Tribolium castaneum: one gene and its partner. The protein of the gene in region 1 purifies or fractionates together with the protein of each later gene. This does not show direct contact. Links are inferred from orthologs where the notes say so. Each region holds a gene or a part of one and is shown on either strand. Other genes may lie near its edges.

The links.
Region 2: the proteins of fu (region 1) and cAMP-dependent protein kinase catalytic subunit 1 purify together in Drosophila melanogaster (affinity purification with western blotting; 3 studies listed by BioGRID, with this or other methods). This does not show direct contact. The link is inferred for Tribolium castaneum from reciprocal best matches to the Drosophila melanogaster genes fu and Pka-C1.

What each region holds. Positions count from the first base shown.
Region 1 is NC_087395.1:1,143,228-1,146,705, reverse strand, and holds the end of fu (serine/threonine-protein kinase fused), read left to right. Parts: exon of another isoform or gene 1-84; intron 85-1,857; coding exon 1,858-2,693; intron 2,694-2,743; coding exon 2,744-2,815; 3' UTR 2,816-2,840; downstream 2,841-3,478. UniProt on the Drosophila melanogaster protein: Probable serine/threonine-protein kinase; maternally required for correct patterning in the posterior part of each embryonic metamere. May be involved in control of cell division during metamorphosis and ovarian development. May interact with costal-2.
Region 2 is NC_087397.1:21,579,070-21,583,494, forward strand, and holds the start of cAMP-dependent protein kinase catalytic subunit 1, read left to right. Parts: upstream 1-1,471; 5' UTR 1,472-1,800; coding exon 1,801-2,342; intron 2,343-4,425. UniProt on the Drosophila melanogaster protein: Serine/threonine-protein kinase involved in memory formation. Promotes long-term memory by phosphorylating meng and by regulating CrebB protein stability and activity.

The DNA of each region.
Region 1 (3,478 bases):
CCGTTGAAGAACTTAGGTGTAAAGATTTTTATAAACTGTCTATTGTGAAACCAACTTGATTTTAATAAAAACTTATTATTCTTATGTTATGGTTTTTATTTACCTTTTTGTGTTTTTTTTATCAATTTAGCTTTATTTACACATTACTAAAAAAAACAGATTTTTGTTTGAAAAAATCTTATAAAATTTAGCATAAAATAGGAGTAAAGCCACAAGTCATTATTACATTACATTACATTACATTAATTACAAATCCAGTCAATAGGAGAAATTTATCGTTCGAAAACTACCGACAAAACAAAAATGGTGGATGCGCCGGGGAAAATATTTTCTGTAAAAAAATATAAATCACTGATTGATATAAAAAAAATTTGAATTTTACTTTAACTTGTACAAAAACTACCGACAAACAAGATGCAGTTAAATTAGGTTTAAAAATATTTAAAAAAATGGTAAATGTGCCGGGAAAAATATAATCAGTAAAAAATTAATAAATCACTGATTGATATAAAAATGTTTGAATTTTATTTGAACTTGTACGAAAACTACCGACAAATAAGATGCAGTTGAATTAATTAGTGTCGAAAATATTTTACAAAAAGAGTGGATGAGCCGAAAAAAAAATTGCTGTAAAAATATTATATATTATTGATTGATATAAAAAATGTCTGAAATTTTCTTTAACGTGTACAAAAACTATCGATAAACAAGATGAAGTTAAATTAGGATTCAAAATATTTTACAAAAATGGTGGATGCGCCTTGGAAAATATTTATATCTGAAATTTACTTTAACTTTTACGAAAACTACCGACAAATAAGATGCAGTTAAATTAGGTTTAAAAATATTTGACAAAAATGGTGGATGCGCCGGGGAAAATATTTTCTGTAAAAAATTAATAAATCTCTGAGTGATATCAAAAATGCTTGAATTTTATTTTAACTTCTATGAAAACTACCTTCAAATAAGATGTAGTTAAATTAATGAGGATTGAAAATATTTTACAAAAAGAGTGGATGAGCCGAAAAAAAAAGTGCTGTAAAAAAATTATATATCATTAATTGATATAAAAAATGTCTGAAAATTTCTTTAACTTGTACGAAAACTAGCGATAAACAAGATGCAGTTAAATTAGGATTATAAATATTTTAGAAAAATAATGGATGCGCCAGGAAAAATATTTTTTGTAAAAAATTTATATATTACTGATTAATATAAAAAAATGTTTGAATTTTACCTTAACTTGTACAAAAACTACCGATAAACAAGATCAGTTAAATTAGGATTGAAAATATTTTACAAAAATGGTGGATGCGCCGGGAAAAATATTTTTTGTACAAAAATTAAAATTATTTATTTATCTATCCTGTTCAAAAATATAAAAAAACAGAATTAAATAAAACAACAATTAATTGAAAATGATTGATATAAAAAATGATGCAGTTAAATTGGGATTATTTTTTTACAAAATTGGTGGATGCGTCGAGGAAAATATTTTCTGTAAAAAATTTAGAAATTACTGATTGATATAAAAAATGTTTGAAATTTACTTTAACTTGTTCGAAAACTATCGATAACTAAGATGCAACTAAATTAGGATTAAAAAATGTTTTAAAAATGGTGGATGCGCCGGGGAAAATATTGTTTGTAAAATAGTTATAAATCACTGATTGATATAAAAAATGTTTGAAATTTACTTTAACCACCAACAAACAAGATGCAGTTAAATTAGAATTAAAAATATTTTACAAAGATGGTAGATGTGCCGGGAAATATATTTTCCATAAAAAATTCTAAATCACTGATTGATATACAATTTATTTTTCAAAAATGGTGGACCGAAAGTTTCAACACAAGACTTAAAAAACAATGATTTATCATTATCCGTTCGAAATGACTTTTTTATTGTAGAAAATCATTCGATTGAAACTGAAGAATGGATCGTTTTTTTGCAAAAATCAATGGAGGAAGTTATCGGAGGTGAACTCACTTCGTTGACACAAACATACCTGACTAACATAATTGTGTCACCGTTACGTAACACTAATACAAGTCCAAAAGTGTTGATTTATGTCGCTAAGCTTTTATCGTTACCTTTCGCTCTTCGAGGAATTTCACACGAGATCAAGGAACAAATCAAAAAAGTGTTCGTCTTAGTGAAGTTGGTTCCAAATTTGATTTACTCCTTCAAAAAAATAATGAAAGTCTTGAAAAGTTCCAGTGATGAAACGACTTACAAGAATATAGCTGATTTAACAGAGGAAGATTTTGAAGCACTTGAATGTGTCTATATGTTGATTACACATTTGGTGCATTTGGATAACGAGTTTTTGAGTCAATTGTGTGATTCCATCGCTGTTTTGAATGTGTATGCGATTTTGAAATCGTTTCTTTTGATTTGCAAAAGTCGATTACAACTGGTTATGGATTTGTTGGCGATTTTGACGCATGTTTTGCGCGTTTTTCCCGAACATTTTGAACTAGTCGATCGAATTGTTTTGAATGAAGGGAAAAGTGTTAATTTTGTGGAATTATTGCGACATAATAATCCCCTGATGCAAGAACGGACGTGTTTTTTTCTTTTGTTTTTAGGCAAACATTTGCCAGCCAATAAGGTGGAAGTTTTTTGGAATGAAACTGTGAGAGAGACTTTGGAAGCTCTAATGTATGATTCGATTGGAAGTGTTAGGAATGTAAGTTTTGTTTGAATGCAGAATTTGCATTTTAATTGTCTTTATTCTAGGCTGCTGATCGCACCGTTAAAGAACTTAGGTGTAAAGATTTTTATAAACTGTCTATTGTGAAACCAACTTGATTTTAATAAAAACTTATTATTTTTATGTTATGGTTTTTTATTTACCTTTTTGTGTTTTTTTATCAATGTAGCTTTATTTACACATTACTAAAAAAAACAGATTTTTGTTTGAAAAAATCTTATAAAATTTGGCATAAAATAGGAGTAAAGTCACAAGTTATTATTTTTTTAATTACAAATCCATTCAACAGGAGAAATTTATTGTTCGAAAACTACCGACAAAGAAGATGCAGCTAAATTAGGAATAAAAATATTTTACAAAAATGGTGGAGGCGCCGGGGAAAATATTTTTTGTAAAAAATGTATAAATTGCTGATTGATATAAAAAAATGTTTGAAATTTACTTTAACTTGTACGAAAACTACCGACAAACAAGATGCAGGTAAAATAGGATTAAAAATATTTTACAAAAATGGTGGTTGCGCCGTGGAAAATATTTTCTGTAGAAAATGATAAATCTTTGATGGATAGAAAAAATATATGAATTTTATTTTAACTTGTACGAAACCTACCTGCTGTTAAATTAAGATTAAAAATATTTTACAAAAATGGTGGTTGCGCCGGTGAAAATTTTTTTTGGAGAAAATGTATAAATTGCTGATTGATATGAAAAAATATTTGAAATTTACTTTTACATATTCGAAAACTACCGACAAATAAGAT
Region 2 (4,425 bases), on another chromosome or scaffold:
TTTATTCGTTAGAGGGGTATGTATTTTAGCTTTTTATCAAATTTATTTAAAAAAATAAAATAATAATTTGTTAACAAACGTTGGTGTTTATATAGTTTTGAAACATCTAACATGTACATACAAGCAAGTAGAAATGAACCCGTACCTTCTGCTAAGCAATAAGCTGAAGATAGAGGAGTTTTCTGGATTTTCGAAGAAAGTTTGTAATTATGAATTACCTATAATTAAGCCGATTTTGGAAATTAGTATAGTAAATTTCTAACATTCAGATTGCTTTTGGTTTTTGAATATGAAAGCAAATTCTTTAGTAGTGTCTCACAAAACGACAATCGCAGGTTGCAGCAAAAAATTATTTTCTTGCAATACATTTAATTTTTTCTATTTTTTGAAAATGTACAATAATTATTTAGTTACAATTTGCATTTCTAACCCAAATTAACAAAGTTCAACGACAAAAAGAATAAAACTCATTTTCTAAATTAATTTCAATTTGCTTCAATGAGGTCCTTTTTTTCTACAAACTAATTTTAACAGATAGGAGACAAAGTTTTATTCTAGAAAACTTAGAAAAATATGTTACAATATACAATTACAACGCTAATAGTTAATAAATAAAAAATTATGTAACAGAATTGTGACAAAAAAATGTGTGTAACTGCAAAAAATACAGATATGTTGTATATAACTTATTGGAGATTTGTACTTATTATTTTTATGGCTTTTGTAATTAAAAATTATGTATAATGTAAGAAAGACTTACTTTTTTTTTAAATTGTATGACAGCAATATAGCATATTTATGGTGCATATTTTAGGTTTTTTTTAATGCATATTTTCCGAACCCTAGTTATTAAGAATTAGATCTCTTATTGCAACTATTCATTATTTTAGCTATTAATTTTTTCAAATTTTGAAAAATACATCGCAATTAATCTTGTAGAAATCAAAAAAATATTTCAAAAAATACAGTATTGATTAAATTATAGTAAAACATCCTGAAACTAAAATGAGACGTTTGCGTTACGGTTTAATTAATGTACTCTCAGTTTTATTAAGGACAAACTTTCCAAACAGCAATCTTTTTTTAATATTCTTTGATATTTTGAACTGTGGACGCAACCAATTATACACATTTCTAATATTTAAAAAATTAAAAAAAATTAATTAAGAGTTTTGAATATTGAGTACCTATGTGATTAGTAATGAATGTTGATGAATTTTGCACATATTACGTTTAGAATTCGTCGTAATAGTATTAATTTATGAATAAAATTAATAATGTATTGTTACGAATTATTTTTCAAGTAGGCACTGTCACAGTCGTGTCACATTTGACAGTTCATTGACACTGACAAGTGTTACCTAACCTGTTTTACGATGATTAAAATAAAAATGTTTAAACTTGATTTAAATCTCGCGCATTGCTTGTATTTCGCTTGTTGTCCGCTTTCCCCAAGCATTACCATCCGTTCGGTGGCGTCCTCTCTTATCTCCCCATTAAACCGTGTAATTGACTTGCGAGCGAGTGTCTTCGCTTCAATCCCCAAATGAAGTGAAAATCTGGGCACTTGGTAGCCATTTTATCGTTAGCTCGTTGGTTTTTCGGCGTGTATTTTGAATTTGTGTTGCCCGTTTTAATCAGTGTCTGTGCCTCAATCGTGCGAGATAAACTCAATAATGCGTGTGTACGGATCGTTGTGTTGACACAAACCAAACGCGACATCCGCTCCGAGCTCATCCTTGGTGCTTCAGGCGGTGTTAGAAATCAATCGAAGCCCTGGAAGGTGTCCAAGTCCAAACCATGGGCAACAATGCCGCAACGGCGAACAAAAAGGTCGACTCCGCCGAAAGCGTGAAGGAGTTCCTCGACCAGGCCAAGGAGGACTTCGAGGAGAAGTGGAAGAAGAATCCGACAAACACCGCCTGTTTGGACGACTTCGAGCGCATTAAAACCCTAGGTACGGGTTCATTCGGACGTGTAATGATCGTCCAACACAAACCCACGAAAGAGTACTATGCGATGAAAATCCTCGATAAGCAAAAGGTGGTCAAGTTGAAGCAGGTGGAGCACACCCTCAACGAGAAGCGCATCCTGCAGGCGATCAGTTTCCCGTTCCTAGTCAGTCTGCGGTTTCACTTCAAAGACAATTCGAACTTGTACATGGTGTTGGAGTATGTGCCTGGAGGAGAGATGTTTTCGCATTTGAGGAAAGTCGGACGCTTCTCTGAGCCACATTCGAGGTTTTATGCTGCCCAAATTGTGCTCGCTTTCGAATACTTGCACTATCTAGATCTGATCTACAGGGATCTGAAACCGGAGAATCTTCTCATCGACTCGCAGGGGTAAATAAACAAATGATAGTTATTTATTTTGAGTGGAAATCGGACGCTTTATTTGACGAGTGAAAAAATTCTAACACAAGTCTACATGTGGGGAAGGTCAAGCTCTTTAGGCCCTTTGGTGTTCTGAAATTGTTTCTTATGCCATGAGATCGAAAATTTACTGAATTAAAGCAAGCCAAGGGAAGTGCATTTTTAGCCACACTTCTTTTCAAAACATCGTGTTGCAAAAGACAGTAGATAAGATTAAGAAGATGTCCAGAAATACTGTTTTTATGTTAGCAAATAACCGAAATTCTGCCAATTGAAGATTTCTGTCAGTCTCTTTTTTTTCACTTGTTATTAAAATAGCATTCTACGATGTAGGCTTTTAAACACCATTTTGGTATAATTTAGATGAAGCAAGGAATCAGTTTTTGAAAAATCATAGTCTCTCATTTTTTGACATTTGGCTAAAATTCCGCAGCATGACCTGCTCTAATTCAGTTTATTTTCGATCTCATTGAATTTATGATTAGAGTAGGCTTTGAAAACGCTGATTATCATAATTAATCAAGCTGAAAGTCAAATAATAAAATTTCGAATAGTAATATTCAATTGGAATACATTTTTTCTTTCATGTTGCACTAATTTATTAATTACAAAGATAAAAACCGCCTAATCTAACTATAAATTGAAATGATCGCATGTACAATCATATCGTCGTTTTTGTTTATAATCAACTATCTAAGAACCGTCAGGTTGGCATTATCATAAATAGAGTAATTTTTTTGAATTAAGGTTGGTGTAATTTTTTACCTGGCACATTCAATTTCCAAATTTTTCAAATTGTCTCCAATTTAAAACGCGTACAACAACACATTTAGTTATTTTAGACCACTTTTAGACTAACGAATTAACGATTAACACTAACATCTAATTTTCAAAAATGCCAAATCTGGTGTTCAAAATGTCAAATACAGAATACAGCCAGTTTCAAAAGTGGGTGGACATGAACTTTTAGGATGAAATAGTCTGGTCTTTATCAGAATTTTGACACTGACAAGTGATTATATAAAAAAAAACTATATTTCAGAAAACTACTTTGGGCCGGTTTATAGAAAGCTTTAATTTAATTCGTTTTTAAAAGTTAACAACGCGAATAGACCAATCAAATTTGTTCAATTTGGTCACGTGATGCATTTAATTGCAGATTAACTTAATGACGCTTCTATAAAATATAAAGTTAAGTTGAATTTAATATAAAGTTAAGAAGGTACTGGCAATACCAAAATTCTAAGTAAATAAATAAAATAGTTATGTGTTAGTTAATAAATGTATGGTGTGGACCTGACGGGTTCAGAGCCTCTAACAATATTGGATTTGGTATTTTCTTCATTCTTCACATTCAGGCTGTTCCAACGAGCCGAAAATAGTCCATAACTTGTATTATTGACTTTTTCCTTAGATATATACAGAGTGTCTCAGCTAAGACTTTCGAGCTTAATATATCAGTTATTTGTCAACAGATTTTTATGAAATTTAGAATGCACATATTTTAGGAGGTGTTTTTTCCATTAGGGGCAAAAAATGACATAAGTTAAGAAATGTAATTTTAAAACACATTTCTTTTATTTAAAATTAAGCTGAATTAGTATTGGATTATTAAACCCCGAAAAATAGATGGCTCCACAAAAAATTAACCAAATCGCTCGGTTGATCCAAGAAAAAAAAATTGATTTTGTTGTTAAAAACTAAATCCAAATTTTCAAAATATTTGAATAATCATGCGGCATTTTGTGTCCCACTGTATCAAAAGTGTGTGTGCTGTCAAAAAAGTAAAATTGTTTTAATTTGGTGAAATTACTTTAAAAACAAACAACACTGGCAGAAATTTCTGTGTTGTTGTAAAAGGAAACAATATTCGCCTATGGAAAGTGTCTTTGGACTTTTTGTGAAATGTTATTTATGAAATTTAAAGTTCAAAGAATCGTCAACAATTTGAAGACACAGGAAGCGTACCTGAACTAAATCGAGTGAGAACAAAACACGTCACTGTAAATGAAGAAATACTTGGGGCTGTAATTCAAACTTTTGAAGAGAATCC